4 linked regions of the Astyanax mexicanus genome follow. The protein of the gene in region 1 purifies or fractionates together with the protein of each later gene. This does not show direct contact. Links are inferred from orthologs where the notes say so. Each region holds a gene or a part of one and is shown in the gene's direction. Other genes may lie near its edges. The genes, in order: llgl2, DDB1- and CUL4-associated factor 1, pard6gb and pard6a.

Evidence for each region.
Region 2: the proteins of llgl2 (region 1) and DDB1- and CUL4-associated factor 1 purify together in Homo sapiens (co-immunoprecipitation; 3 studies listed by BioGRID and IntAct, counting the BioPlex papers as one, with this or other methods). This does not show direct contact. The link is inferred for Astyanax mexicanus from reciprocal best matches to the Homo sapiens genes LLGL2 and DCAF1.
Region 3: the proteins of llgl2 (region 1) and pard6gb purify together in Homo sapiens (affinity purification with mass spectrometry; 4 studies listed by BioGRID and IntAct, counting the BioPlex papers as one, with this or other methods). This does not show direct contact. The link is inferred for Astyanax mexicanus from reciprocal best matches to the Homo sapiens genes LLGL2 and PARD6G.
Region 4: the proteins of llgl2 (region 1) and pard6a purify together in Homo sapiens (affinity purification with mass spectrometry; 5 studies listed by BioGRID and IntAct, with this or other methods). This does not show direct contact. The link is inferred for Astyanax mexicanus from reciprocal best matches to the Homo sapiens genes LLGL2 and PARD6A.

What each region holds. Positions count from the first base shown.
Region 1 is NC_064422.1:31,516,811-31,525,234, forward strand, and holds the start of llgl2 (LLGL scribble cell polarity complex component 2), read left to right. Parts: upstream 1-5,261; 5' UTR 5,262-5,551; intron 5,552-8,424. Other genes in the region: galk1 (galactokinase), read left to right, coding at 480-647, 1,306-1,495, 2,230-2,349, 2,526-2,661, 2,805-2,986, 3,074-3,224, 3,826-3,988, 4,069-4,149. UniProt on the Homo sapiens protein: Part of a complex with GPSM2/LGN, PRKCI/aPKC and PARD6B/Par-6, which may ensure the correct organization and orientation of bipolar spindles for normal cell division.
Region 2 is NC_064419.1:10,125,168-10,132,935, reverse strand, and holds the start of DDB1- and CUL4-associated factor 1, read left to right. Parts: upstream 1-4,195; 5' UTR 4,196-4,252; coding exon 4,253-4,292; intron 4,293-6,988; exon of another isoform or gene 6,989-7,216; intron 7,217-7,768. UniProt on the Homo sapiens protein: Acts both as a substrate recognition component of E3 ubiquitin-protein ligase complexes and as an atypical serine/threonine-protein kinase, playing key roles in various processes such as cell cycle, telomerase regulation and histone modification.
Region 3 is NC_064410.1:36,207,997-36,216,290, reverse strand, and holds the start of pard6gb (par-6 family cell polarity regulator gamma b), read left to right. Parts: upstream 1-4,823; 5' UTR 4,824-5,106; coding exon 5,107-5,178; intron 5,179-8,294. UniProt on the Homo sapiens protein: Adapter protein involved in asymmetrical cell division and cell polarization processes. May play a role in the formation of epithelial tight junctions. The PARD6-PARD3 complex links GTP-bound Rho small GTPases to atypical protein kinase C proteins.
Region 4 is NC_064416.1:25,813,379-25,822,227, reverse strand, and holds the start of pard6a (partitioning defective 6 homolog alpha), read left to right. Parts: upstream 1-5,377; 5' UTR 5,378-5,645; coding exon 5,646-5,708; intron 5,709-8,849. UniProt on the Homo sapiens protein: Adapter protein involved in asymmetrical cell division and cell polarization processes. Probably involved in the formation of epithelial tight junctions.

The sequences.
Region 1 (8,424 bases):
AGTGCAACAGCTGGCAGAGGTAGAGGCGCTTAAGGTGGAACTAATAAAAAATAAATAATATAAAAGCTCATTTCGGCTCCCAATTACAGAGGTGTTTAGGAATGGACAATAATAATCAATTGCTGCACTTACTGCCCTCTTACTTAAGACTTGCAATGCTCTAAAGTTAATTAGGTAGGTAGCTAGGTAGTCAACCTTTAGTGCGCTATGTGGAGGATTTTACTCCAAAACAAGGGGTTGGGGTATAAAAGAAAAAATGGGATTGGGCCAAACTTTACAACAGCTAGTATTAAAAAAGGTAGTGTGCTCTATGTAGTTCACAGCTGCTCACTGAAACAGGATCTGACCGCAGTCACGCTGTACTGCATCATATGACCATTTTAAACCAATCAGAGTCACTGAGATACAGGAAGTTTTCTCTTTCACTGATCAGCTCGTGTGCGTATAGTAGTGATCAGTGTTAATATCGCTGTGTGCGGATGGATGGAGAGGGGTCTGCGGCTGGTGTGGGGGCTCTGCTCGCCGCTGCTCTCCGTGTTTATGAGCGGAGTTATGGGGGAGAAGCGCAGGTGGCTGTGTGTGCTCCAGGGCGGGTGAACCTGATAGGAGAGCACACTGACTACAACCAGGGACTGGTTCTGCCAATGGTAAAGCAGAAGAGCATTCACTATTAAATAGTTCAGGATTTAATGCACATTTAGTTCTAAACAGAAATTCATTAGATGATATTTGGTAATATTTTGCACTCTAGAGTTTAGACTGTAGACCAACCAGCCAGCACACATAGTCACAACTTTCTGACAACGTTGCTACAATGTTTTCCAAAGGTTGTACTGTTTATATATGAAAAACAGCATGTTCACTACCATGTCATTAGGTCATACCATAGCATACCCTTTTATTTATGAGATTGATTAACTTTTGTCAACTTTCTAAAATTCTAGTCATGTTTATTTATCCATTATCTGACAATACAACACTTCATACAGTCATGGACAAAAGTGTTGGCAACCCTGAAATTGTTCCAGAAAATGTATTTCTCCCAAAAAATGATTTCAATTACATGTTTCGTTATACACAGGTTTATTTTATTTATTTTGTGTATTGGAACATCACAAAAAAAACAGAAATAAAAAGGCAAATTTGACAACATTTAACACAAAACTCAAAAATTAATTAATTAGTTAAGTTACATGCTGTGGGTTTTAACTGTTTGTTTATACAATTGATCTTTTTTGTACTTTTTTGTGATATTTTATAATATTTGCATTACAGTTATTTTGCTGTGTTTCTGATTGATCACAGGCTTTGCCATTGGTTACAGTTATAGTGGGCAGCAGCACCTCTGGCCAAAGCTGCTCAGTTGAAACCATTACTGACTCCGCAGATGAGCCGAGGAGAGTGGACTTCGATCTGCCGACCGAGAGTTCACCCCTGACCAGAGGGAGGCCAGCCTGGGCCAACTATGTTAAAGGGGTGGTACAACACTATAGAGGTACCCTGAGGAGTTTTACAGATTGCCTTTATTCATGAGCATGCACAGCATGGCACATTTACAGGACATTTACTCTGTCTTTGACAACTTGTAGATGTTATGTAAGATTGAAAATATAATAAGAAAGTGTATATAAAATTGTTTTCATGATGACGTTTGAAAAGTGGAGCTGAAATATCTCCTACCCCTTCTGATGGACCTTTAGCCCCACAGGCTAAAACATTTTATGAAAAACTATGACCACAATAGATGAATCTCCAAGCCTAGGCTGCTGTCAAAAAAGAACGGGTTCTCAGTAGGCTTCTTCTATGACGGCTCAATATCAGTAGTCTATTAGTTAGACCTATGAAACATTGTGGTGCAGATATTCATGTGATTTTCATATCTTCACAGAACTAAATTCTCCTCCAGAGGCATTGTTTTCTGCAGTTTTCATCTAATTGAGTGCCATAAAGGATACATCAGTTGTGTATTCTAAATTACTCCAAATTTTGGCTCAACATGATATGGCTTTCTCTTTAGAACACTCTTTCTTTGACTTAGCAACTGAGAACTGCAGCCCACCTACAACAGCTCAGGCTTTGGGACACTGTTAATGGTTCATTTTTAGACAATGAGCCACAAGGTTTAGATTTATCTTAACAGGGAATGAGAAGAGGCTGTGTTTAAGCTGCTTTGAAATAAAGACCATATATCAGCTTACATATTGAATGTATGACTTGGTTTGTACACAGCACAACCCTTGCCTGCATTTAAAGCTGTGATCGCCAGCAGTGTTCCACTAGGGGGTGGATTGTCCAGCTCAGCGTCATTAGAAGTGGCAGTGTACACTTTCCTTCAGCAACTGTGTCCAGGTAGGAACACATGTGTCATACGTTAGTGATGTTCTGAGCTTGTTTGACATCATGCATGCATACATTATCTTTAAAAAGATTAATATTAATTTTGGTCATCGGCTACAGACTTTAATTTAGCTGACATAAGTGTTTGTCAACCTGCTAATGCAACAGTCTCTACATTCTCTGAACAGATGATGGGGATAAAGTGGCAAAGGCAGTAGCTTGTCAGCAGGCAGAGCACACCCATGCTGGAGTACCCTGTGGTATTATGGACCAGTTTGTCTCTGTGCTGGGAAAGGAGGGTCATGCATTGCTTATTGACTGCAGGTACAGTTCTTTCAAATACTGTTCTGTCTACCAGTTGATGGAACACCACTGGGACAATAACTAATGGACTGTATTGGATATATGTAGTAGGCTTAAAAGTTGCCAGTGGTTTGTTAAGTAATGTCACTGTTTGTCTGTTTAAGGTCTCTGGAGGCCACTCCTGTTCCTCTGGCTGATCCAGCTTTGGTCATCCTCATCACCAATTCCAACGTGAGGCACTCACTAACAGGAAGTGAGTATCCCAGCAGACGAAAACAGTGTGAGAATGCAGCAGCCATTTTGGGCAAGAGCAGTCTACGAGATGCAACAATGCAAAATCTGGAGGGTAAGAATTGTAGAAGCTGTAAGAAATGTTTTTTTCTATTATTTGTGGGACTGTGAGTATGCATTAAAATAATCCAACTATTTGTAGATGCCAAAGACCGAATGGACAGTGTGACATACCAGCGAGCACATCATGTGATTGAAGAGATTGCACGCACGGCACAGGCAGCTGATGCACTCAAACGGGGGGCTTATGCAGAGTTTGGAAGACTAATGGTGGAAAGTCACAATTCTCTCAGGTACACAGTACTTTCTATTAGGATCATCATATGCAGGAAGATTCAAACTGGTAAACAATTGGAACAATTTATGGCAACTCCAAACAAAAATTAGATTGTTTAATTGGTTTATTCATTTGATGAATAGCCTGAAAAAAATCAAGTTTAAGTACTATGTAGCATACTTTCCAAAGAATGTATCTTACAGAAACTATGCTCATTAATCCCATCTAAATGTTTACATTTCTGGCCTCATTATGACTCTGTTTAGTTAGGAAGAAAACTGAAAAATATTCAGTTAGACTAAATTTGGATGTAAAGGTTTGGTGATTTTTTTTGTAAAACAGATGATACATTCTGCACACATTTGAATACACAATTACTGTATTTGTTTAATTTAAGGGGCATGTACAAAAGTTATGGTACATTTTATATAGTATGCGTTATTTTGTTTCCAACATTCTCAGTTATTCAGCAAAAAAAAAAAAAAAATTGCAACAGAAAATGAGTGGCCTGTATTTTAGTTTACAATTCAAACCATCTAATTTTAACAGTGTGTTTATATTTTTTTCCCCTTAAATTTTTAATACACTTGAATAGTTCGATTATTGTCTACTTTCAGAGATCTTTATGAGGTCAGTTGTCCAGAGCTGGATGTACTGGTAGCTGCAGCAATGGAGGTTGATGGAGTCTTTGGAAGTCGGATGACAGGTGGAGGGTTTGGTGGATGTACTGTAACGCTGCTTCAGGCTGATGCCACTGAGAGGACCATAAAACATATACAGGTTCGTGGCAGTTTGCTTTTTATATCTTTTTTTTATTCTACCCTTTGTTTCTAACTTACTTTTTTTTTTTTTACACACAGGAGAAATACAGCGGACGTCCCACCTTTTACATTACTACGCCATCAGAAGGAGCTCGGGTCCTCAGTGGGATGAAGAGTTAACACTTAAGTTAAAACTGTTCCTGCAGTGTGGTTTAGAACAGTGGATCTGATTTCTGCTGCATCTCTTTTTTCTACTTATGCACATAATCAGTGCCAAACTGATAAAAATAGCTTTTCTCATCTTTTCTGATTTTCTGTCAGAATGATGAAGGAAAAAAATGTAAAGATATTTTTCAGAATATAATGCAGATGTTCTAATATGAGTACAAAATGATTATCTGTTATAATCATTTACTAAGAGTCTTCTTACCACCCATGAGGTCATGTGCTTGATATTAAAAATGAATGAGCCTAGAATTACAATTGTTATTCCTGTTAAATTAATTTGAAACTAGAGAGGCATAGCAAATTATTTACATTTTTTTCATCTACAATTTTTGTCAGTAGTGAAATTTAAATATGAAAAAGCTTAACACTAATACAATTTTTATGATTCATAGCACTTTAGAATTCTTATATTTAGCATGTTGTTTATAATTTCTGACTAATATGCATGTTTTGCCCTTTTGCAGATAATTTTAACAGGATTGAGAATTGTACTATGATTGTGATTAAAATATTTTTATGTAATAAATTTTAATTAAAATTTTAAATAAATCTTAAATAAAATGAAAAACAAAAACCAATTGAAAGAGGCTGTTAAGGTATTAAATGATTGATGAATAAAACAAAACACTGTAAATAAGTAATCATAATAGTGTTTTTTATTATTATTTGTGTGGTTCCACATGCTGAAATTAATTTAATTGCTGTAAACGCCTTCATGTGGAGCCCTTAAAGTACAAAGGTAGAAAAATAATATTTTGAGACTTTACATTCACCCTTAATTTAAGAGTTGATTCTGTTTTAATATTTTTTTCATTCAATTTAATAAATCAGTATGTCTCTAAATATTTTTTTATCTTGATACTGTGAAGTTGATCTTAAAATAATAAATATTATAATAAATATTATAATAAATATTTTGTTACAACAAATTTCTCATATAAATAAATGATTTTAAATATTAAAAGCTCCAGTATTTCTGTGTCTATCTGTGCGCTGGTCTTTCTCTCCCCCTGCCGGACGGGCTGCGCTCCCCGGCTCTGTGTGCTGAAGTGCTGGGAGGAGCCTGAGCTGCAGTCAAGAGATCCGTAGCTGCGCTGGCTGGAGGTAAAAGTCCTCCACTCTCAGCGGGCCTGGGGCCGCAGGAAACGGCGAGGCTGCAGTGGGGATCTGGAAGCTGAGAGAAACTGTATGTGTCTGCGTTAACTTTAGGTTTTATATGTGTGTTACTTTGACCTAAACGTACGGAGTCGGCGGTTTTCCCCCTCAAAGAAAAGAAAAGTAGTCCTAGGAGTGTGGCCCAACATCCGTAAACAGTGAGGAGAGCCGCTGGGACAACAGCGTCGCCCCGGATCAGGTGAGTTTTTGACGGGCCGCGGTGCCGCCTGGTTCCGCTCACCGCTCAACTAAAGCTCGGTTAGCTGGATATCTAGCTACAGGTGCTTGGGGCTAAGATTTAGCTAGCTCATGTACCTAGTTAATTAGCTAGCTTGCTAATTATCTTGGTTCTGTGTTTAGCAGCAGGAGAGCTTTTCTTTTAAAGAGATAGAAGTGTGTAGCTACCCATTCAGACTGGTAGTTGGCTAGATCGTTAAGCTAAGCTAACTAGCTTAGCTTGCTGAGAAGTCGCCTTTTTAACTCATCAGAGTTTAGCTAGTTAACTGATTTAACTCTCTAGGATTTAATGTGATTAAACCTTTAGTTTTAATTGTATTGTGCTTTCCGTGCGGTCAGGTAGCTACAGAAACTAGCTAACTCTAACCTTCATCCAGACGCCAAGCTCAAGGAAAGTATTATTATTATTATTATTATTATTATTATTATTATTATTATTATTATTATTATTATTATTATTAGCTAGTTAGTTACCTAGGTACCTTAACTAGATTGTTTTCATAGTTACCAGGTTTACGACGGGCTATTTGCTTGGATTGTATAAACTTGTAGGTTATACAAATCCAGACATTTAATTAGCTCGCTATTAGATTTAACTTACAGACACGTTAGCCTACTACCAATATAGTTATATGCTAATATAATTATATGCTAGCTAACTAGCTAGTTAGCACATCTGTTGAGCAACAGTTTAATTAGCTAGGTAACTGGTTTAGTGAGGCGTGTCTGTAGTAAAGTAACCTAGTTAACTATTTAGCTAGCTGCTAGTTAGATCTCTCCCTGTTTTTATGTTAAAACGTAGCTACAAGCCACCAGAAGTGTCAAATCCAGGTCCAGTACATAACTAATAATTCCATCCCACGATTTTGTTCCACCTGCCCAGAGTGGGTTAGTGTAACGTTTAGCAGTTTAATTTTTTGACCGTGTCAAGCTAAGTTCGAAAATACTTATAAATTACTTGAACAAATTTTTTTCATTCAGTATAGTGAAGAAGAAATGTTTTTTATGCTTTTTCAATTTATTTATTGAATTAATTTCATTTATCATTTATTTATTTATTTACAAAATGCAAAAAATATATATATATATATATTTATATATATATATATATATATATAGGTAGCTATATATAGCTATATATAGCTACATATATATATATAGAGGGGCAGAGAAAAACTAAAATTGGAAAAAAATAGTACACTGCACTACATAAAAAATGAAATGAGTTTTTCACATAAAATGTTCTCTTTTTTCATTTAGTCTAAAACAGTCAGAAAATGTAATTAATAATCGTTACACAAACCTAGACTGCACTGCTAAAGCTCAGTTAAAGAAATCCCACTCAGGCAGGTGAAACAAAACCCTGGTTTGGATTTTCACTCTCTGGCCCACCCTTGCTGGCCACTCACTCACTCAGCTCTGGGTTGGGGGCGGAGTGGATGAGGTAAGGTGTTTCTGTTCCACCGGTTTGTCAGGTCTGAGTGAGCAAGAAGACAATCACATCCGCCTCAGAGCTGCTCATATTACTCTGTTGCCGTATGCGTGTCATACGTTATGCAAACCGACCGAGGCTGATCGCCCATGCGGGTGTAGGCCTGGTCAGGAGATTAAAAATGCTGTTACTCAGCCTGTTGAATATTGGATATACACTCAGAAAGTGCTTGTAAGTAAGTACACTTACTTAAACTTGAACAGGGTAGGGCCTGTAATTCTTCAAAACATGGATTCCTCGAGGTCTTGGAAACATTCCTTTTAAATTCTGGTTCATGTTGACATTGTTCACACACCGCTTGCTGATTATACAGGTGCATGTAAGTCTGTGAATCCCAAAGCTGCTCATTCATGAGGCCAGTCTGATATGATTTTAGCTTTTTGACATTGTGGAAGTAACAGTTACAAAGGGGATACATTTTGGCCACAAAGGGAAGCACTTATTCACTGAAATTAACTGACTCATAGTATGCACAGAAAATGTTCACCACGTGTGTGTATACTACTGTGTGTATACCCACTTACCTGGACTGTTGACACAAGACAAGTTGTTTATATACATTAATAATCACACCATCTGTATGCTTTAGCAAAAATCAAGACCAGGTCATGTTTATGTCTTCAGTTTTGTGTACAGTTTTTTTTTTTGTCTGTGAGTAAAGCCTGATGTGGTCTTTTGCCGTTGTAGCCCATCTGCCTCAAAGTTGGGTGTGTTGTGCACTGAGATGCTTTTCTGCTCACCACAATTGTACAGAGTGGTTCCCTGAGTTTCTGTAGCGTTTCTGTCAGCTCAAACCTACCTACCCATTCTCAGTTGAACTTTCTCATCAACAATGTGATTTAATCAGCAGAACTGATGACTTTCTTCAAGTCATCAGTTCTGGAGATTTTAAGGAGATCCTATTTCTAGATGTACCATCCCTTCAATAAGAGTATAGATGTTTTAAATGAAGTGCCTTGTGAGTGAGTGTATGCAGAATTAGTCAGTAGATGATGTTGAACCCACTGTACCTACATATGAAACTTCTAAGCTAAGGCCAAGTCTGATGTCATAATTTGTGTTTTTATGTCCTGTTTACTTTTCATACATACTTCCTGTGAAAGTGCAGCCCTAGGGACTAAGTTACACGCTTATTGTTTGGTCTTTGCACCTAAAGATGTTTACATTTGACTAAATGACTCTGTTTTGGTAAACTAGGGCAGACAACATCCACACTTACTGTGAAGCTGAACTTGTAGACATATATCGCCATATAATGGTAACCTTGAAACATGTATTTACATATCTTAAGATGTTTGTTCAAAAGAATGTAGTAGGGTTTGGGTTCTGGGATAAAATGGTTT
Region 2 (7,768 bases), on another chromosome or scaffold:
GCCTTAGACACAGACATTAGACTGAAGACTTTATTCATTTACGTGTGTGAATACGCTTGCCACTCCTTTTTGAATCTCTGTAATGTTGAATGGTGTTTTAACTGTTTCTTCTGTGAACACTGGTCACATGCAGGTGAACCCTCTTACAGCCTACTACGATACAGGATAAAGGGAACTAGTCCCGATCAAAGAAATGTGTGAAATGTGTGAAAGTTTTTTTTCTTTTTTTTAAATTACTTGGGAATAGAGTGGCGACTGATACAAAGAACGTACACTAAACACTGATGCCTTGTGCTGCTGTCTCACTGAATGTATTGGTGAGGGTTGCAGGGTTCAGGAGCACTGCTCCTAATGCCTACATCTCACTCCAAGTCTTACTCAAGCTGAGCTAAGATGTGCAGACTTTGCCTAGTCTCTTTATGTGGGTCACTGTCTCCTGTAATACTCCTGTAATTTTTCACCCCAACCTTTCCCGCTTCTGACACTTCAGTGGCTGAAACGTCACAACGCTTCTTCCATAATGTATGAAAATGAATTGAGTCAAACCAAAATCAAATGATAAAATGACGTCAAATGTGTGCCAAAACAATCAAGTTTCCCAAATAGAGTATGCTCTTAAAGATGAACACTATAATTGGAATGGACTTCCAAGCACTTCCAGGTGGAGCAACAGTCTAAGTGCTATGTTCAAAAGCATAAGTGGCCTTGACGTAACAGAATAGGCCATTAGTGTTCTCCTCCAAGTGTGTTGAGCTGTCCAGTTCTTTAAGCATATGCGTAACTGGCTTGGCATGACCCTGAGGTAGCAATCTAGCTTTTACCCTCTTAATTTATGTGTATTTTAGGGGCTAAATACCTAAGTACCCTCAAAAATGCTACTTCACAATTGCAAAAACTGAAATCACAAGAAAATAACCATTTAAACACATTTATCTTTAAGAGTGTATAATTTCCATTAAACCAAATCCACCAAATTTCATTCCAGTATCCAGCAACCAAGGATATAATCAGACAACTCGCTTCTTGTCTGGTTGTAAATTTGGGAGAATTCCACAAGTCATCTGATTTTTGACACCAAATATGAGCACTGCTTGTGCACAAACGGTACTATACAGTAAACTGTATACTGCTGACACCATCTCGCCTCATTTCTGTATCCATACGTGGCATTGATCTGCTTTATTTACAGACAATGTACCGCTCAGGCCCACCCGTACCCCACACTGCTCTGCTACTCTCCCTGCTTTTCTTTTTTAGCGGGGCGAAACGCTGACGTCCCCTGCGCTCGAAGCAGATTGGACAACTGTTCCAGAAACATCTGAATCGTACATTATCGCGTCTCTCTTATCTCTCTTTTTTTCCAATATGTAATCATTCTTTGCGTACGGAATAAACGTACCTGTTTTTATTCTTTTTCTTTGCCATTTGTCAGTTTACCAAATTAATTTATTTATAACAATGTGTATTTATTTGTTTGTATTTTTTATTTTTGTACATTTTTGTTTTTATGAGGGGCTCACGTTCTCGCAGAAAGATGCCTCAGCTGTAAACGATTGAAGGGATGTGTGTGTGTGTGTGTGTGTGTGCGTGTGTGTGTGTGTGTGTGTGTGTGTGTGTGTGTGTGTGTGTGTTTGTGTGGGTGTGCGTGTGTGCGTGTATGTGTGTGTGTATGACTGCCACCTGGCTAAAGCATGTGAAAGCTTATGGACCAATGAACAAGGGTCAGTTGTGGTCAGTGCGGTTACTTGTATTTCCAGAGTAAAGCAGTGACCTAGGCCGACAGCTCTACCATGTTCCCAGAGCGTCACGGCTGAGATGTGAACGATGCCCCAGCGTTCCATGTCCTTTGCTTACTACTCTTTACTTGAATCGAGGTATTTATTGATGTTGTTCGAGAAAAGGCTGGGTGTGAGGAGCAGATCTGTGTTCTGTTCATTAAGGTGAAATGGTCAGATGTACAGATCAATCTGAAAGCACTCAAATCAAACTGACCTGATTTTTCTCTGATTTTTCTTTTTTTGAACTTTTTTTTTTTTAAGTTTGTAAATAAAACTGAATCATGGTAAATACATATTTTGTTTGTTGTTTGTATGTTTGTTTACTTATCCAAATCAGTGTCTGGTAGACACCCACCTGAAGGCCAGGCATATTTCAACAAGACAATGCAAAACCACAAGCCAAACAAATGAAAAATGTATGTATGTGAAAGAAGAGGTTAAAATACGTTGATAAATGAACACCTGAAACAATTCATTGCTACATTATAGTCCGGTACCACTTTAAAATAAGACTACCTTTATAAAGGGTTTATAAATGTTTTACAATTAGTTTATTAATGGTTAATAATTAAGTTGTACATGCCTTAAAAGTCATTAATAATCTGTTACAACACATACGTAAAAGGACAACAATGACCTGTTTTTTGTCCAATAGTGAACTCACAGCCATCTATATTGTTGCCCTTTCTACGTATGTGTTATAACTGATTATTAATGATTTTTAAGGCATTTACAACCTAATTAGTAACTATTAATAAACTAATTGTAAACATTTATAAACCCTTTATGAAGGTAGTCTTATTTTAAAGTGGTACCCAAAGTTCTAACTTGGAATGTGTTCCTGAAGGCCTAAAGTGCAGAAATGGATGATGTACAGTACAGGCCAGAAGGTTTGGGAACACCTTATCTTTTTCAATGTGTTTTCTTTATTTTCAAGACTATTTACATTGTAGATTCTCACTGAAGGCATCAAAACTATGAATAAACACATTTAACTTTTTTATTTAACAAAAAAGTTAAATAACTAAAAAAAATTATATTCTATTTTCTTAAAAATAGAATGTTGCACTGTTAGCACTGCTGAATGTGCTAAGATCGATGTAGAACATTATTAACATTAACTAATTAAGACACTAAAAATTAGTTTAAAATCATTAAAGGTTGTTAACGTACACTTGACTTGGCTGTACTAATTGTACCCATTCTAAGTCTAAGGGCGTTTTCACACCTGTAGTTGGTTTCTCTGGTCCGAATCAGTTAATGAGTTTGTTTACTTGGAGCGTTTTCTTGCTCTGTTCAGTCTGGTTTCACACAGGCATAAATGTAAACGCACCAAAATGCGCATCAATAAACCACGCGAGCAGCCTGTGTCCTCTGATTGGTCAGAACTGTCTGACACGGGAGTACGTTAAATATAAATATACGAAAAAGTAAATACAGCGAGAAGATCTTGTGTTCCAGCACAAAATCTGTGCTTTAACACTGAACGCTGAAACGCTGCACTTTCAAACACAGTGTTTCTACGTGCAGCACAGATTTATACATAATAAACAGAGTCACGCGACTGTGAGCAGTGAATGCAGCGCAGATTTATACATAATAAACAGAGCAGTGAATGCAGCGCGTGCATGGACACAGTGTTTGTTCACAGCTGTGGTAATTAGTGTTATCTGGCTAATATATCAGTTTAAACTGTGCTTGCTTTATCAGCAGTTTAGCTCAAATAAATGGCTTATATTTAATAGCTGGATCCGATCGAGACCGGATCACGTTCTCACCACAAGCGAACCGCTCCAGAGTTCGTTTGTTACCGGACCGAGACCACCTCCTCTAGCTGGTCTCGGTCCGGTTCTTTTGATCCGCACCCGAGTGCGATTACTGTTTTCACACCGGCTCAATCGAACCGCACTAAAGTTACAAACGGACCAGAGTTCGTTTTAACCGGACCAAATAGTGCTGGTGTGAAAACGCCCTAAGTGTAATTAGTTTCATGTGTGCATTCACTGTGGAGCTCTACCTCACTCTACCTTTAGCCCAGTTTTGTCACCACAGGCTGCAAATGTAAAGCGCTAGTTCCCTCTGTTGCTGCATATGGGTAACGTAGCTTATGTTTGCTGTTATTCAAGGTGTTATAGCAGCTTTTTTATCACATTATCACAATAATAATGGAAATACGTAATCATTTATCATACGTCCATATTAGAAAAATGAACCCATACCTATAGCCAAGAGCTAGTAGTAAGTAGCGAGTGTTCTTTATTAAGAGAGAGTAAGTAAGTCAAGTAATGTGTGAGGTGAACCATCTCAGACCTACTGTAGCTCCTGTATCTCCACACCCTCTCCCACAGCAGCTTCAGCTGAGTGATTAAGATTATCTCTGAACTCCAGCTCTCACTAGTCAACAATGTTGAGCTTTACTCTGCGGGACTCTATGGGACTCCAGCTCTCACTACAATTACAGCAAACCTTAGAAAATGATATTACGGATACGATTCCGGCCTCCCAGAAGACCAGGTGAGCTCAGTCTGTCTGTCTGTCTGTCTTATACTGTTTATTCAGTTTTATTCTAACAGCCGAACCGACACCTAGGGTTGGCACCATTCAGAAATGAAAATAAGGGATGCCCACCGCAGCAAAAAAATCCTGTAAAGTAAAAATATAAATATATAATTATAAATTTGATTTGATATTTATAAACTAAATAAATGTTTAACATTTTAACATTCTCTTTTAGATTTTATAAATTGATATATACATTTCTATAAAAATATAAACATTTTGAGACAAAATATACAGAAAGCTCTACAAACCTTTTTTTTACTAGGAATTTTTATTTTAATCTGTTAGTATGAATTGCTCCTTAAATTAATATAGAAAATATTTATATTGTATAATATTACTGTATATTAAACATATTATCATTCATTTAACTTTACCTTAAAATCTTAAACAATCTATCAAATGTTCCATGCACTGATATCTTCGGGCGGTTCTGCTGATCCGGTTCTGTTCATTTAAACAGGCGAACCGATTCACACAGACTCCAGATCCACATTAAAAAATGTTATTTATTACAGGGATGGTTCAAAACATTTTGCACCCAAGGATGAAAATAAAATAGTAGCTTTTATAGATTTATTTTGAGCTTGAAACAGTTAAATTAATAAAATAGGTATACGTAACAATAATAAATGAATTAATCAGAAATAAATTGACCCATACTTTTTATCCGCTGTCTTATCTATGCTTTATTAATTTTATCAATGATGTTTTGTAAATAAATGTAATGTATTTCTTTCCTAACCTCACTGGAAACTAAGAACATGCGCATTCACACGACACGTCAACCAACGAGTCTTTGAATCAGTTGATTCAATATGACAAAGAATCGGTTCAGTATACAGGCTGTATTCAAAATGACTCTGCGTCCTCTGTAGGGTAAATATGTAGTGTACTTTATTATGTGTACTTTTTTATTTGTTATTAAATTACAGCTTTAGCATGCAAATATTGCAACATATATTTTAATATAGCCAGTAGTTAAAGAACTTTTAATTGACATTGTACATGTGTAAAATATATAGATATCACAATACAACGGTATGTAGCCACAAATAAAGAAAGAATGTTTTTTTTTTTTTTCAAAAGTTGTGGAAACGTTTTATTAAGCTGTAGAAACGAGATACTTAAGTCCTGGCCATATACATTTTCCCCATGACTTTCCCCACGAATTATCTCATTCCCAACCCTTATTAAGTCATCCGCAAAATGTAATTATCATGTTCCCAGGTTTTCATAAGTCGTGACCACACATTATTATTTATTTTTTTGACATGGTGTTACCAAAGGGGCTCTTTTAATTTCACAATATTTTATTTTATAAAACATAATGAAGATAGAAATTTGACATAAGTCACTTTCCACTAAAATTGACATCATTAAAGTTGACAAGAACATGGGGACAGACATAAAATAATTTTAATGACTAAAACTAGATATAATATGAAAAAATATACTATATAGAATTGATTTGAACTGTTAATAGAGTAATTGCAAAAAAATAATAATTTGTCGAATTCAAGTTGTATATATATATAAGCACCTGGAGACAGTCTAATGCAACTAATGTGATGGCAGTGGCAGTCTTTAGTTCATCATTTGTGCATAAACTGTGCCACAAATACATATTATTTTAATTATATTATATTTAATTATGTAATTTTAAGTGTTTATCTGGGATATTTGAGACTTTTACATCTTTATTACAAACTACATATTCAAAAAACTAGAGCAAAGCTTAGCAAATTTTAGTTTAAAGATGTTTAATTATTTATATATTGAAATATGCCTTTATTTTCTCATCACTGAACAATTTTGTTTCAGTGTTGCATATATAATTTTTTAACTCCAGTTATGGTTAGAAATTTTGAACCCAAGTCCCGCATCAGCACACAAACCAATCAGCGCACAGTAGTAGCAAAAACGCTACCGGCTTTACTGCCTAAACTCCGTTTAGGGTAGAAAAATAAAAACGTATAAGTAATAATTTTCTGCTTTTTCCTTTGCTTTATAAAATTCAAGGAAAAACCTGAACAAGTAGTTTTTATTTACTTATGCTTTTAGCCATTTAGCTCCATTCACCCCAATTTATTCTGGTCTCTCTCGCGGGCTACCTCTTGCGGTTGACATCTTTTCTGATATAACAGGGAGAGGAGACAGGTTCTGCATTAACTGGTGTTCTGTCGAGTTGTGCTACCCATCGACATGTGCTACTTAGTGGCTCTGAAACTCTAATTTTCACTGTTTTGTGTAGTATTTTTTCATGATATATTTTTTATCGGGTGCATTGTACAATCTGCCTCACAGTCATCGTTTACTTGAGTGTTACAACCGTGTAAAAAAGTAATTAAAATATGATTAAAAAATACATATACATACATTTTAATCACCCTATATTGCCTTTCATTTATCCTGATGCAGCGATTTAGGCTATGCTTAATATCATACCGACACTTCTACTGCATGCAGCATGTTCTAATAGGTTGTATTATTACAGTAAAACACACACTAGGGTAGCACGGTTTGACAGGGTAGCACAACTCGACAGAACACCGTCTCTGCTCAAACATCGCTGTTTTTTAAGGCGTCGCGAGAGCCGACCAATCCGCGGCCTGTGTTCACCGCGCAAACGAAAACAACGCCTGCATCATTAAAGGCCGACAGCGGTCGCCCGTACCGTGACGCCGGGAACGTGGTCGCCATGATCAGCTTCATGCTCGCGGCTGTGTGGAGGTAAACGGTCTGACAAAGCCGCGCTCAGAGCCCGAGAGAGAGCCAGAGCGGAGCCGCGGCGCCGCAGCGCTCAGCCCGCCTGACTGCAGCCGCCCGGGTACAGCGGGAGTGAAGGGAGCCGGGCGCGGGACTGGGGCAGGACTGAGGTGAGCCCCGCTGGCTAACGTACAGGCAGCACGCTAAGCTAAGTGGTTAGCTCAGTTAGCATGTGGCTAGGCTTCTGCAATGACAGCTATCACAGAGCTGGTTGGTGTTGTTAGCGTTAGCTAGCTAACCAAGCTAACTGGAATATAGCCAGCCAGGTGGATGAAGTGACCGTCGGACTCTATGAATAAGTCTTATATAAACGAGTCCAGATGTTAAGAAGCTGGGTTAACTAGCTTAGGTTTAACCTGCTAAAATGTGAAGCGTTAGCACTGTGGTTAAGGGAGTTAACGCCAGGTTAGCGATCCTAGCTAGATTAGCTAGCTAGCTAGCTTGAGGTGGCTGATAGTGAGCCAGTTATGTTAGTTAGACAGTTAACTGCTAGTTAGCTCGCTAACTCAGTCAGTTCAGCTGTGGGTGTGAGTGTAGCTGGTCGGTTAGCTGGTTAACTCTGATTTAAGCTAGCTAGTTGGCCTTAATACTTTTACCCTATAGAAATAACATTATTTAGCTTCTTAGCTAACCAGATAGTTAGATAGCTATGTAGGTATATA
Region 3 (8,294 bases), on another chromosome or scaffold:
TATATTAAATAAAAATATTATGATTATTATTTGCTGAGCATGCAGTACGTTTCTTCATTCCCTTGAAAAAAAAAACAGCATGAAGGTTGTGATCTCACTAACATCAAATGTTACTTTCCTAAAGGGCTAATTATCCCAGGATGGACAGAGTGGGCAGGAAAAAAAATTTGGATGTTTAAATAGCTAGATATTTTTGTGAAAATAAAATTCACAATTGAAATGCCTAAATTATAAAAACTAATATATTTATTTTTTTTAAAAAATGTTGCTACTTAACCATTTCTTCTAAATACTGTATTTGTAATATTGTGTTAATTCAGAGTAAACCTTAAAATGCATTGTAACACAGTGTGTAATGTTAACAACTATGCTGAGCACGCAAAAGGAATGTTATATTTATATTGACCAGTTAAAAAAAATAAGTTTTATTTTTCCAAAGAATAAACTGTTCCAAATCAGCTTAGACTTAATATCTTTGGAATACATTAACTTGTGTTAAAAGTTGAGTGTTTTATTTTGTCATGTAAAGTTACCACATTAAAGATATATTTTTTTGGACAATTAAAAACATTATCAAATGCATGAACAAATATTGTGACAATCCCTTCTGTCATGGTCAGACCCTAAACTGGACAGTACTTCAGAGCATTTATTGTGTTTTTTCAGCTCCTATCCTTCAGATGAGCTGCATGAAGAACTATATAACTGTTTTCAGTGGAGTAACACTGACATCTAGTGCTCTTTACAGAAGCTGAGCAAGTAGGGGGCGGGGCTATATGTACAACTACTCATCTGCCACTAGACAGAGAAACAGACAGACAGACAGATTTAATGATCGAAAAGGAGAATTAGGCAGTCAGTTGCAGGTTATAGGGCAGTTACAAGTGTAGTGTAATGCACAGTATACTGTAGTGTATAATATTTAATGTTTTAGTTTACAGTAATAGTTATGTTATTAGTTTGAGTATTGAACTTGCTGTATGCTGTTATAGAGTCAGTAACAGGTTAACTAACAAGGCAACAAGTTACATGCATAACATGTGATGCACTACATTATTTTATATCTCATTAAACATAGTTAATTGATGCAGTAATGCTTTAATTCATTACTAGACCATTAGGTAGCTCACCTGGTAGTCAACACCTACTTGATTAATTTTAAGAAATAAACATAATGACAGATACTAGATATTTTCTTTAGTTGCACTTAGTATCGTCCTTTAAGGAAACAACCGCAAACAAAATTGCTAAACAATAGTTCAATTTTTTTAAATAAGCTTGTCAATTTTGTAGAGTCTATATGTAAAATAATTGTAAAAAATAGCTGCAAGAGAGTTTCATTTAAAATACCACTAATTGTCAAGTACACTCTAAGACTGAAAAAAAAAAAATAATTTAGAAATTTCATATTTAAAAAAAAAAGATAATTTGTTGAAAACTTGAGTTAATTAGACTTAAAATGTTTAGGTACTATCCCTAAATTGTAAGTTTTTGTTAAAGCAATTGCTTTGTACAATAATCCTACTTTAAATGTTATTGTCAGGTAGTAAAACAGAACTTTCCATATCTAATGTTTGGAAATATAATTATATGTAAAAATAGAACATATTTATTTGAGTTCAGACTGTTTTTTGGTTTATAGTTTATTGCATTTTTCTCTATATAATTACTTAATTGGTTAATTCATGACACTCCTTTTTTTCTGTCGTCTTCATTTATAGCTTTCCCGTCCACTGTCCTTGTCCATCTTCCAGCAGCGTGACAATTGTCTTGTATAGTTAAATTGGCCCACATTTTTTGTACTTTCACTGCACAGTTTTTTTCTTACATATTCACATAATCACTGTGTTTGATATATTGTGCAATTGTGCATAAAAGTGCATAAACATATCACTCCAGTAAATATCCTCTTTTAAGACCTCCACTTGAGTAAAAGTACAAAGACTAGATTTGCCTTCAAATGTATTTAAATATAAGTAAACATAGTCTCTGTCTTATTTCACAAATCTTTTAATAGAATGTCATCAATTATCATATATTTTTTGGTCTATAAGGCTGACTGAAATTATTCCAAAAGAGCATGGACAACTCATCCAGGAGGTCACAAAAAAAACAGAACTGCGGGTCTCACTTGCCTCAGTTAAGGTCAGTGTTAATGATTCAATAATAAGAAAGAGACTGGTCGAAAATAGTATCCATGGGAGAGATCCAAGGCAAAAAAAAAAAAAAAAAAAAAAAACAACAGTCCATTTCAAATTTGTAAAAAATCTTGATAATCCCCAGGAATTTGGGGAATTTTGCTGTTTTACCAGACAATCCTAAACACACTGCACTGACACTTTACAAGAACAAATACTGTTTACAAACACTGTCACTTTAAACCGCACTGAGACACTTTGTCCTGTACTGCTCTAATTCCATTATCATGCTGCTATAGCAAAACTTGCACTCTGGACTTCATGTTGCTGCTACCTGTCTACTCTGCCTATATTTTATTTTTTTGTGTATTTATATTTATCTATTATGTTCTATTCTATTTTTATTGTATTCTTTTATTTTGTTATCTTATTTTATCTATATATCTATTTTAACAACAGCTCTTGGTTGTAAACTTGAGATCACAATTTCGTTACACCTCATGTACCACATGTGATGCGAATGACAATAAAATCTCTTTGAATTTTTTAATCCTTAAAGGAGAATGTCCTGCCATCTGTTCATGATCTCAAGCTTAGGCGTACTTGGCTTCTGCAGCAGGACAATGACCCAAAGCACACAAACAAGTCCACCTCTGAATGGCTTTAAAAAAAAAAATGAAGGTTTTCGAGTGGCCTAGTCAAATTCTGTGGAATGATCTTAAACAGGTGGTTCATGCTGGAAAACCATCCAATGTGTCTGAATTAAAACAATTCTGTAAAGAAGAGTAGGCCACTATTCCTCCACAGAGATGTGAAAGACTCATTGTCAGTTACGGGCTAAGCTTGATTGCAGTTGTTGCCACCAAAGATGATTTGGATATTTTTTTTCCTTTAATCTTTCTCTAATATTAACGTTTGTTTGATAATCTAAAAAAATATCAGGATGACAAAAAAGCAAAAACAAAAAAAGTCTGCAGGGGGCAAATAATTTTTAACGTCACTGTATATATATACATATATATGTATATATATACAAAACTTCCTTAATAGGAAAAAATGTGATGAAAACATCCATTATATTTGTTTGTTGACTTATTTACACTTACTGTTATATTAAATACGTTTATTTCTATTGAAAATAGAAGGTCGGTAACAGTAAAATCTGGAGAAATATTAGCCCCCTCTAGGGGACAGAAGAGCATTGCATGCTATTCACACCACCACTGTGATTTATTTCCTAATGAGCTTAGTTTGGCAAGTTTATTCAAACTTTTGCTTCTTATTTAAGCAGGAACATTAGTGTACTAAATTTCTAGCAATTAATTCAGATTAAAAGTATCTTAAACTAACGCATAAAACGTCGGCTGTTAGAACTTTGCTCTATTCTGATGCTGGTGATTTTCCGTGGTTTAACCGGTAGAACAGTTGGAGGCGCTGAGAGGACGGTGTTAGGGAGGTTAAGCTGGCGCCTTCTGGCCGCACCAACACAGTAAAATCCAACAGCTGATGTGTAAACATCACAGCACACTGGGTGGTGGGTGGTTTCACTCAGACCAATGGGATCATGCTCAGCAGTGTCTGGTAGTGTCTGGTTTGAGCCCAAAGGTAGGAAAGAGGAGCCTTAAATCAGAGCCAAGAAAATGTAAAATCATGACTCAACTAGAAAAAGAGAAATATATAATAAAAGAGCTTGAAAACAGTTAAAAAACAAACAAACAAATACTTAATTTCCAGTGAACACTCAATATCAATATTTAAAAACTAAATTATTATAATTCGAAATTAACCTACTAATAAAAGTATTTAACAGCTTTTAATCCACAAAAATCCTTTACTTCAATAAAAATAAATACTTTCTCACATTTGCAGTAGTTTATTGTTAAACGCAAAAATAGCACAAATTTTGTACAAATGTGTCTAAGAAAAAGTAACGCCGTATATTCCAGTTTGGCAGTTATGAACTTTAAAATAAACTTGTATTCTTTTTTTTAAAGAACCGAATTTTTTAATTACCGTCAGCAGGTGGCGCTACTGTTGGTATGTGCGGCTGCGATTGAACGTTTTTGTTTTTTTAACCACCCGTTTTTCGGACACACCACGCCCCCCGTGCTCTCATTGGCTACTTGGTTCAAACTCAATCCGCCCGACCAATGGGAGAGGCGAGCAAACAATAATAAATAAATAATATATTCCGAAAACAAAATAAGTTTCAAAAAGCGTAGCTTTTATATTAGTCTCACTTTAGTCATTAACAATTACATTTAATATATTTTTTTTGTATTATTGCTCAAATTTGCAGTACAACTTTACTAACTTTATATCAAGTTTCTTCTTGTTTTTTTGTTTTTATTTTATTTTATTTTTTTTTCATTGCTTCTTAATTTTGGATACCTATTTATTTGTTGTCATAATAAATTATTTATAATTCATACGAGATCACATTTATATTTATATACCATTTATATATAGATAACTGTATGCATAATGTTACTGCAAAAAAATGCATAAATAAAACAAACTTAGCTAAAATACTAAAGCGGCGTCAATGGATAGACAAAACCCCGCCTCCATCGAACCAAAGGACCAATCACAATGCCGAAGGCGGGATATTTCCACGAAAATAGCCAATCACGTTAAAGGGAGCGTTTTCTGAGTACGGGTACGGAGTACGGGTGTGAAGCCAGTTGGAGGAGCTGTGGCTGAGTTCATGGAGAGACACGGTGGTGATGTCATTCAGTAAAGTTAAAGTGAGTGTCCCTGACTGAGACGCTGCTTTTGGGCTCTGTAACGCTTTTATTTTTCTGTGAAAGTTTGCGAGCTGCGGTGTAGCGGACTCCCCGAGGACTTCATGCTCCTGCACACCGAGAACTAGTGGGAGTTTGTGGGATATAGGCGCTCGTCTTCTCTCCCTCGAGCCCCCGAGCCGAGGGTCGGGCTCAGTCTGGGAACTTTGGAGCTTCAGATCAAAATGAACCGCAGCTTTAATAAATCGCAGCCTTTACGGCCGCTGGAGCTGGACGCGGTGGAGGTGAAGAGTAAGGTAGGTCTGGAGGGCTTTGGGTTTAAAAGTACTGTGTTTACTCTTCTTAAAACACTGGTGAAATAGTGTTTTTTTAAGTAGGTAAAGGTGGGCTAATGTAGCTAGCCCCCATGTCAACTCACTAACCTAACTAATATTAGCTCTCTGCTCTGAGCTGTCCTCCACTGTGTGTCTTCTGACACTCAGTATTAGTGATAACTACTTTTCATCACATACCTGCTGTTTCTGAGTTAATATTTGGGGTGTTTGAGTTGTTTATGCTGCATCTACAAGCAGCCAGACTGCTAGCAGAGTAGCAACTAGTGCATCTAAATAAATAAAGTAAATTGATTATCATTAAAAAGTTACTTTATTTCACTAATTCAGTTAAAAATATGAAACGCATATGCTATATAGATGTATTGAACACAAAGTGACCTATTTTAAGAGTTTTTTTTTATTGTTGATAATTATGGCTTACAGCCAATGAAAACCCAAAAATCATTTTCTCAGGAAATTAGAATATTATATAAGACCTATTGGTACTTTTGGCAGTGTGGGCAGTGTGTCAAGTCCTGCTGGAAAATGAAATCAGCAATCTCCATAAAAGTTGACACCAGAGAGAAGCATGAAGTGCTGTAAGATTTATCTGGAAAACAAAACTGCACTGACTTCTGACTTTATATAACACAGTGGATCAACACCAGCAGATGACATGTCTCTCCAAACCATCACTAATCATCAGTAAATTTTGCATTTCGTTTGGAAATCAAGGGACCAGAATAGAGTGGAGAAACACAGTTCAAGCTGCTTGAGGTCTAGTGTGAAGTCTCTACAATCAGTGATGGAGAGCCATGTCATCTGGCAATCTACTACTGAAAATCTAAGCTTACTGTAAGTAAATGAAAGCGCTTTACTTACACAAATTAACAGTTTTCAGGAGAGAAATCTGTGTAGTTTAACACCCATTGCTCATTTTACTTTAAAAGTAAATGTTTTGCTTATATGGCAACACCCTTGTTCCTTACTATTGTCACCTAAAATGTGCCTTATGTATGGAAAGAGACCAGAAAATAGACTTTCATTGATGGTGTGCCTTATTATAGTCAGTATAATACAGTAGTCTAAAACAGCTCTTCTGACAACATCTCTCTCTTTAACTGTAAACTTGCTTTAACTGTGCAGTTTGGGGATTTCCTAGACTAGGAACACACACACTTATTGAACGGTTGATTTGAATCAGGTGCATGAGCAGGAATATCTCCAAAATGGACTTGAGCCTGTCCAAGAATCCCCTGGAGTAAAGGGCCCACTGTCCAGATGTCATGTAGATTTCTTCTATATTTTGCTTGCAGTGTGTATCTTTTAAACTCATCTGATTGTTTACTGAACCCTTTTCAAGGGCAGGTTTACAATCACTGGTCATCCTTTAGTGTTTGTCTATCTAGTTCAGGAGTGGCAAGGTCTTTTGAGATATTGGGCCACATCCAAATCTTTCCATTTTTTAAAAATAAAAAAAAGCATAACATCTAGAGATGCATGATGATATCAGAATTATATCACTATCTGTCGATAATTGCTTTTTTAAAACCGATACTTTCTCTCTACATTGACTGCACTACTACCATTGATTTTAAGCTCATTTTTATTTATTTTTATTAGCTTTAAAGTTATACCAGGGTGTCCATTCTCTCTGTAAGTTATAAGTATATATATCGGAATTGGCAGATAAATACATGTGTAATATTGAAAATCGGCATTGACATTGGTGCATCTCTAATATCATTCTTACACTATATACACAGCAGACAAATGAAAAAAAAAAGAACATAACTGTATCACTGACTGACTAACTACAATAATTACAGCCTCTGTCAAAGCTATAATACACTACATCCTATATCCAAATGTTTGTGAACACCCCTTCTATGCACTCAGCTACTTTAAATTACTCTCATTGCCGATAAAAATGTGCAAATGCACACGCTGCTTGTCTAGTCCCTGTAGAAAAGAATTGGCAGTAGAGTCAGACACTCTGGAGCAGATAAAAATGAACCTTTTGACACTGTGCCTAATACTAGACATGGACTAGAGGAGTTTAAATCCTCTCAGCATTTAGTTATGGTGCAGTGGGGTTGTATTCCCTGGGAAGCAGATACAGTTTCTCTTCCCCAAAAAAGCAGGATTTTTAATTTTTAATTAAATAATAATTTTTAATACCCTTGATTTCAGAAATAACAGTAAATGAGCAAGTGTTGTAATACTGTTGTCCATATAGTGTAAAACAATGCAAATTAACTTTATCTAGACCAGTTTCAGAGTTTGTTTTGACTCTGCAGGTGTGCATTGTGCTAGATATCATTTCTGTAGATCATTAAGCCCTACGTTAGTGAGGCAACAGTCAGAAATACTGTAATTAGTATTTTTTAAATGAATTCCCACATGGTGTGACACACCAAATGTGTAAAAATTATGTTGTGCATTAAAACACAGTGAAAGCTTTTAAACGTTAAGTGGACTGAGGCAGTGTTCTTACTAATTCAGAAGTCTCGCAGGTTTTAAATTGGTTCTGCTGTTAGGTTTGACTGTGTTTTCCCACATCTAGCTAAATGGCTGTCTGTGTGTTCATGCAGATTAGAACCTTGATCGGACCAGATCCAGCCCACTGTCTGTATGTTGACCTGCGTGATCTGATCTCTGTCTGTCTGCTGCATCTGTAGCGTATAGTTGATTGTCACGCACTCAATGTTTGGCCATTGGTTTTTATTTTAAATGTGTGTATTATTGCAGTGGAGTTTCTCTTCTTTTTTTTAAAGATTGTCTGTGGTAACTGTCACTGATTGTATGTTATTGATGTGGCATGGTTTGCAGGTGCCTCAGCTATCTGCTCATTCTCACCATGTAGAGGAAGAGGATTATTTTCCTTCTTCTGTTTCTTGCAGCAACATGTCTTTAATTGACTGATATTTCAGAGTAGTTATTTTTCACATTCAACATAGTATCTCAGAATAATCCGATCTCCAAATGATGTACTTGAATTGAAGTCATTATTTTGGTTGCACATTGCTTTAACAACTAAACTATAAACTATAATTCTAATAAAAATGTTTAGAATTCCTATATTTCTGACCAAATAG
Region 4 (8,849 bases), on another chromosome or scaffold:
AACACTTTATAATAAGGGTGTATTAATCAACAGCACTTAAGACAAAATGTCTCAATTATTTATTGACTCCAGTTAAATTTCTCTCAATTATTAATTGACTCCAGTTAAATTTCTCTCAATTATTAATTGACTCCAGTTAAATTTCTTATTTTTAATGTCTCTAATTCATTATTATTCACAACATTCTTAAGCTTTAAAATGTATTAATGTTTAAAATTGTCTTACCTAGTGCTGTTATTTGTGAGCATTATTGTGACGTGTTATCAAATTAGTTATTGAGCGGTATAAATCATTTAGGTATTTTTTTTTACTTTTTATTCTCACTTATAATGTTTATTCATGTTTTAGCCATTTTCTCCCAAATAATTTCAGTTCCCAAATATTTGGTGCAACAATAGCAGAGATTTCAAATTTAAATGAGGAGAAAGCTGGTCCATTCAACAATAAAAGCCCCAACTGTGAGACAATACTTGTATTTTTGTGACAGTGTGAGTTTGGCAACTTAACTTTTATAGCAGATATTTCATTCTATTGACGTTTCATATCTATGTTTGAGACATAAATGTTACAAAATATACTGTAGTCAAGAAACTGAATACAGTTCCTGTAGACTTACAGTCCTGAGTCCTGTGTACTACTGCTACAGATTCATTTATGTTCAGTAGAATTAAAGACTGGATTTTGAAGACACTCATTCTTAAATGTATGTTAGTGAACGGCTGCTTCAGTCAGTAGGGTGGAGCGGGAACGGAGTAAAGCATATCTTATCGGCTTTACTGCCAAGCAGACCTCTTTCAAATAGCTCACATTCTTAAGCATCCTTCACCTCTACAGCTGGAAACCAAGACTCTCTCACCGAACTCACACCTAACATGCTCTTCTGTTTGGACGAAACCTTGTATGTGCTCTAAAACTTTAGCAGTGAGGGTAACGGAACAGTGCGTTCAGACAATTACAGGAAACTGTCCTCAAGAGTAAACATTTACAAGAAATAAAAATGATGTAAACAAATCCACGTTCTCAAAAAAGAAAAGAAAAAAAGGGCCTACCTTGAACGAAAATGCCATGAGTCACCAGAGGCTCACAGATGACTGAAGATGAGTACATTCTTCCTTTAATTACTGACCACGCTCTTTAACAGGGTTCACTGAGGAGGATCTGGTTTGACAGGTGAAATTGTTTATACATGAGTGTACTGAGGAGTGAGGTAATTACCCTGCACACATGGCCAGACAACCTTTTCCTGCTGTCTATGATCAGAGAGCGCACATGCTAATGGCTAATCTACAAAGAACTGAAAGATGTAGAGATAAGTCAAACAACAAAGCAACAGGTCATCATACTACTGACATGACCGACAGACACATGACAACAATGACAAGAAGAAAACTCAACAAACCTGTGAGGCAGTCCATGCACCCGTGACCTTCTCCGAAAAGTCCTTATTAATGATAAAGACTTTGTTGATGAGCTGAGAGAGGAAGTGGGTGGGGTGGGACTGGGTGGGAATAAAATGTTTTTGGCCTGTTGCAGGAAATTGAATTGAGAACCAATCCATGTTCTGGTATTTCATTATTTTTAAATTAAGCCCTGACATCACATTTTTAATATTATTATAACTCATATAGCCAATACTGAAAAACATGGTTTTGAGTGGCTGTTGATTTTACCTAAAAAAAAATATTATATTATATTATTAATTATGTTTTGCATCTAAACATGAATGCATTGAGTTTTCTTAACCAAACTACCTTCCTGGTTACTATCTGGTTATATGATTGCGTTGTGCTTTTCTTGTTTTATTGTTGAAGGCTGTAATGAGCAAACTTTGTGCTTTCAGAGAATCAGAGAAATTAGTTCTCTCTGATTCTTTGTTGCCTAAGTGATAAAGAAACCACACATACAATACAGCACTATCCAATCATCATTTGTGAAGTTTATACTGTATAAGTTTAGATGGATGAACAAAAAAAACTATATATATGAATATTAAAGAAAGGGAAATCTATGACATCTATTAAGCAACTACACTTCACAGAGGCTAGTAATGCACAGTCCTGTAAGCAATATGTACTGAAATGAAGGACATCTCCATTAAGTGGTTCAGGTATTTTGGGCTAGTTCTGAGGAATGTGTTCCAGAGCAGGTCCCTCCATGAATGGTCACAAGAGTGTGAATGAGACAGTGTTCTTGTCTCTATGATAAAAAACAACCCAGATAACATGCCCAGGTGGGGCCTGTATGGGTAGCCCGATTGGGAAGCAGAAAGTTTTATCCACAGGTTCCTTGTTGTTCCCACATATGGATGTCAGTGATGGGACCAGGAGCGGTTAAACATCTGCCCTCTTAAGGTGGGATGTGACGATGTGGCTCATTTCTGAAGTACATTTGGGTTCTAATAAAAACATCTCACCCATCTCAAACATCAACACCCACTCAGAGCCATGCCCACCTTGAACCCACCTAGCCCATGTTCCACCCATGTAAACCCCACATGAACATGATGATTGAGAACCCTTTCATAAAGTATTGTATCTTTCTGCTCCATATATTTTATTTTCACATTTTGTCACATTAAATGTTCTTCAGTGTAACTAATTTAAAAGCACTGATGCTCATTGCAATAAACAAAAGGTTTGGCACATTTAAAAGTAGCAGTTGTGCGATTTTAAACTTCACTCTTCTCCCAGCTATAGACACTGTGAGAAACAACTGAGAGAAGGTTTTGAAGTGAGCTGACTTATGTATCACTAAGCTAGGAGATACTTTCATGTCAAATCAGACAGAATTCCTAAGACAAGCTGCTGCGTGACTTTAATTCAGATTTTATTTATTCTTTTTTTATTTGTTACTTGTGGCCTACATTCTTAAAAGAAGACACTGCCAAGATTTCCTTGACTGACTCCACAGAACAAAAGTATTTAATCAATTCTCATTAATGTCCTGTTAAAATAATGTTTTCTAAATCCAAGGTCCAGAACATCATACCATAATGAACCACTTTTCTTTTTTTAGCGCTATACACATGACTTCCTTGTATTTTAAAGATGTCTCATCATTATGTACTCATCACAATACGCCTATCACAATGCAATGTGGACGTGATATTTTGGCAATTTAATTCATTTTAATTTATTTTGCTTTGCAGAGCCACGTGGACAATATTATTTAATATATGTAGTTTTATTGTTTTAGATATTCATTATTTAATGCATTGTTGGTTCGATAATCATGTTTGTATACATGCCCTTCAAACAACTGTTGTTTGATGAAACACATGAACACGGCAATATTTTGCATGATGGCGAACTGATGGAGTTACATTAAGTTCCACCAAATTAAACAAGGGCACTGTACAGTGGCATACTATAGCTAAAATTATTCTAAAAGAGAACCAAACAAATTGTTGATGCTCATCTACTGGCATATTTAGAGGGCTAATGTCAACATCAGTGATATTTCATCCACTAACAAAGCCCACACAAAATTACACAGTTTGATGTCTGTTGTATTTGACCTATGACCAGAGCTCCAAGCAACTGCTTGATTTGCATGAACTTTTTCCTCTGGTAGTGAATGGTGAAAAATGCTTTAACAAAAAACCTAAAACGTTAGCCCATTTAAATGTGTGTAGGGTTGCACGTTGCTTTAAATCTTGCAGAAAGGGCATTCAGATAATTAAGCAAGTGCTATTTTTAGGGTGCTTTCACACCTGCCTCGCTTGGTCCGGACTTTCGTACTTTTTAGTTTGGTCCGAACCAAATTAGCAGGTGTGAAAGGGGCCGCGAACCACCGTCCGACCAGATTTTGGTCCGACCAAGAGAGGTGGTCTCGGTCCGGATCTTTTGAACCATGGTCCAGTTCGCCTGCAGTGTGAAAGCGCTTTTCTGGATGGTTCGAAATTTCGGACCAATTACAGGAAGCTGAGCAGGCGTTCCTCAGCAACGGCAGCAGAAAAGAAAAATAACCAGCTACTACTGACTGCATCCTGCGGGAAGGCGGAGTTGGACGTCCAGCGCGTCTAGTCCCACCCACTTTGTCCACGCCACGCCTTGTCAGTCTCGCAAGGTTGTAATGTATACACAGTATTTAAGCCGTACGACGCGGCACATTATATTTAAAGTCCGCTAACTGCCCTGTACATTGTTTACTTCCGTACAGGGGCGGGACTGGACGGCATGACGCTAACAAAGTGGGCGGGACTAGACGGCATGACGCTTACAAAGTGGGCGGAGCTGGACGCACTGGACGTCTAACTCCGCCTTCCTGCAGGCTGCAGTCAGTACCCTCTCAAAATAACCGGAAAAGCAGGAAAAATGAGCCGTGGATACAGTTGCTTCAGGACAAGCACGTTCGTTTAGCGAATTTGAACTAACCTAGAGTACTGTGCCTGAAGTTGCTGCTGCTGGTATAAAAACCACAATAGCAGCACTACTATGTAGACGAAATTAATCTGTTCATTAATTTCATCCTTATCCTGGAAAGGCTTTCCATCGAATGAACCACCCGCTGAATTATCAATCAATTGTCGTCAGACGCATGTCCTTCCAAAACCAATCAGCGTCAAGTTAAGGAAAACGCATCGATACGTAAGTGATGAAAGGATGTAGGAGTATCACACAAAGGTCTTTGGTGCGCTCCCTAAACTGCAGTGTGAAAACAAAAATAAGCGGACCAAATATATACAATGTAGCAACACATGAACCTTGGTTCGGACCACGGTCCGGACTTTCAGGTGTGAAAGCACCCTTAATCTGATTATGAAACCTCTTTAATATAAGCAAATAAACAAATTTGTTATATAGTAATCAATGCAAAATGTTGGTAAAAAATTAATGCAAAACTGGATTGAAATAAGTCTTGTGACATTGCAGAAGCTTATGGAAACAATATTAGTGTGTGACCTTTTTTTGGTGCTGACTTTTTTTGGCCAGGCAGTGTATTTGTTTGTTTATTTATTTTTCACATTAGTAACAAGTGCTAGTACTAGTTAATTAGTTAATTAATACATTAATTTATTTATGTATTTATTTGTGACTGCAGTTTTTTTATTTGGTTAATATTCTGACCAAGCACACATTCAAACATTTGAAATAGCAATTTATTTGCATTTGTAGTATAGAAATTGTAATAAAAAGGTTTTGATTGGGTGGTTGGATTGAGTTTGATAAACCCTGTCTAACAAGGTAAACCAAAAAAAATCTAAATGTAAAAGAATATCAGAATTTTTTTTTTATATATTATTTATTTATTAAGTGCTGATACTACTACCTGGCCTGCTCCCTGGCGGTGACGTTCCTCGTGCGGGCGTGCCTTTACCGTGGGCGGGACGGCGTGGGTGCTTACGTCATTGTTATTGAAGGGGAACGGGCGCCGCCCACTCCGGGAGCAGCAGCCTCTAACGGTAGAGCTCGCGCTGCCCGCCAGTACTGCGGATCGAACAGAGCTGCGCGCGCCCTCCCGCCCTCCGCTCCCAGACAGACAGACACCCATCCATCCATGCTGCTCTCAACACCGCCGCTACTACTGCTGCTGAGAGCGAGCGCGCGCCCTCCGCGCTGCCTTCTGTAGGGATTTAGAGAGAGAGCGGAACGAGCCGTGACTGGAATACACACAAACACACACACACACACACACTACTAACGATGTCGAGGAACCAGAGGACGCCGCTGAAGAGCACGGACACCGTGGTGGAGGTGAAGAGCAAAGTAAGTGTGTCTCAGTCGTGCGCGCCCGAACCCGTGCGTACAGCTAGGTGTCCGTGCATGTGCGTGTGCGCGTGTGTGTGTGTGTGTGCTAGGTGCAAGACGACAAATGTGTTTGGCTTGAGCCCAAGTTGAGCGGCTCGGGCTCCGGTGTTCTGTCAAGTTTTGCTACCTTATCAGACCGTGCTACCCTAGTATATATTTAACTGTAAAAACATTAAATGAGCACCTTACTACAGCATGTTACCAGTAGGTGTGGGTTAGTAGGGTAGTTTATTTGGATAGCATAAATCACTGTATCATGGTAAAGTCATGACAAAGAGAGGTTATTATAAACAGCTTTTTCTTATTTTTTTTTAAATAATAATAATTGTATTTTTTATTATTATTAGTTTCCATCTACACTTCTGCAATGACAGTGAGTTATATTTTTTATAGATTTTTTTTAATAAACAAAAGAAACACGATAAAGAAATAAAAAGTGTAGATCAGCGCATGCGCAGTGCCTTTAGGAAGCACGTATCGATGGGTAGCACAACTCGACAGAACACCCCCCGGTGGTGGAGCGCAGTGCTGGTGCAGTGTGTGTGTGTGTGTGTGTGTGTGTGTGCGCACGCTCGATGCTATGGACGCTCGTGCGCAGTGAAGCGACCGGGCCCCGGTGATCAATTATGCATGTTGGACACCGTGCAGCGGTGCGGTAAAATATCAACCATCCGTCTGATTCTGCCCACCTGCCATCAAACCACTGCCCGTATACAGCAACGATGAGGGTCAGCACTGCGAGGACATCACACACACACAGAGCATGGACACCGAACTGCCGCCTATAGAAAGCTGTAGCCCCGGGTACACACTCGACTGTGAAATGGTACCCTACGTGTCTTCCACTGTTTGATGTAGTGTCCGAATTTTACACATTTCGCAAGTAAACCGTGGCTGGATGTCAGTGTCTTCGCTATGACACTGATACTCTCGTGTGTAAACAAACCCAGGCTGTTGTTGACTGGTCACATGCTCCCCCCCTACCAGTCTTACCCAGTCTTTACACTGGTGGTGATGGAGAAGCCAAGCTTCTTCACAGCTAAGGGAGCACGGGAGTAGGGCTGAGAGCACGGGCTGGCACAATTCTGATGATACAATTAGACACATATATACAATTATTTATATATATGTATATATATATATATATATATATATATATATATATATATATATATATATATATATACATATATACATATATACATATATACATGCCCTTTTTATTCAATAAGAGCAGTAGGGATCTCAGGCCAGGCTATCTACTAAAACACAGTGCAAAAAACAGTGTCTGACTCCTGGATCACACTGCTTGCCATCAGCAGCCGGTATCCGAAAGAGCACAAATGGTCTTATTCTCTCAGCCGTGAGAAGATGACACTTTCTTGTCACCTGACTCTCACTGTGATGTTTGGTCAGCTGCACAGGTGTCTTTTAGCTTTTATATCAACGCTGGGTAGCTATGCTTTCTTTAAATTGTTTTGGGTGTCTTTTTTATCCAATAAGGACAGTACAGATGGTTTAAACGCAGTGAAAAAACAGTGTCTGACACCAAACTTTACATATCTCAGTGTTTAGTATCGATACAGTATTGCCAAACATAATATTGTGCTACTTTGACATATTGACATAATTTTCTTACACCCATAGGATTCAGTTGAAATAAAGCTGTTTTTTAACTACCTGAAATGACCAATGGACCTTCACACCAATGAGTCTCCTGAGTGTCATATGTAGTGATGACTGATTATGATGATTGTGGCTTCCATAGCAGATTTATCTTTGTGGAGTCTTATGAGTACATAAACACACAGGCAGTGAGGAAGGTATTAGTAACAACAGTAACAGAATGTTTTAAAAGAAAAGGTTGATACGGTCAGAGGTTTATAATGTCAGTATTGATTATTTTTCGATTAATAACCCAACCCTACAGCATATCTGTTAGAAAAGGTTTTAGGGGACTGAATTGCCTGAGAGTGAAATTCTACAATGTAAGTGGATTAAATGGTACATTTAAAGTCACAAATCTAACCTCACAACTGTTGGTAAACAGTGCCTCAGTCATTAATGTATTTATGTGGATTTTAAGAAATTGTTCTTTGATAAGTTTTAACTGATTTAGATCTGGTGAGCTCTCTAAACCAGAGTATTACACACCAAGTCGTGCTGGATGACATTATTTATACAGTAACATGCCACTTTTTTCCAGAATGCCCAAGACTGCCAAATTGTATGTCTGTTCATTGACAGTTCTCCCCAGATATTACTGGCCAAGTTCATTACCACCCTTGGGCTGTCTACTGTGGGTGGTAATGCCTTATTAAGTGTTTATCTACAGAGGTGACATTGTGAATTGTTAAATGCCTGAACAACTTCCAAACTGAATATCCCATCCATCTAGCATCCACTATTACACCCCCTTCAAAATATGGTAATTAATGTCACCTTTCTCATCTGAGCATGCTAGACAGTGTTCAACCTCAAATCAAATTTCTCAGAAAATAACCATTTAATTATGCTGAAGTTTTAAACATCTGTATTGATCAATACAGTGAAAACGTTCATCTGCAATTTACAATGAGGTGAAACTTTCATGATAAACGGATGGAAGAATTGGTCATTTAGTCTTATTGCTGTTTTAGAGCTTTGATTTTTTTTAACCACAAGCTGCTGCTGACCATGGTGTTTTTGCACATGTTGTGTTTGTTGTGTTTACCCCAAGAATTTCAAAAAGGAAAGCAGCAGCCAGGCTCACTGTGGTGTGTCGCTCTCCCTACCGAAGGAATGTCAGACCAGCACACCATGAGAACTGCGTGAAAGCTAAGAATAGGAGAAGCAAAAATTCAGCATTTTTCTCGTTGTTTTCTCGTATCTTATAAAATTAGAGGTCTTGCTGTGGTCGGTGCCACTTCAGACAGACAAGGGCTGGAGTCGGATGTGGGCAGACGGCCGGGTCTGACTTTCGAAATATTGTCTGAAGGCAGTAAATAGTAGAGTGGCAGGGCTCGCTGCTTTTCCTTGGCAGTGAATCTGAAGTGTGTTGACCTTCTCTTCTTGGTCAAAGAAAGACAGTGATACTCTTAATCCTTCTCTCACTTCATT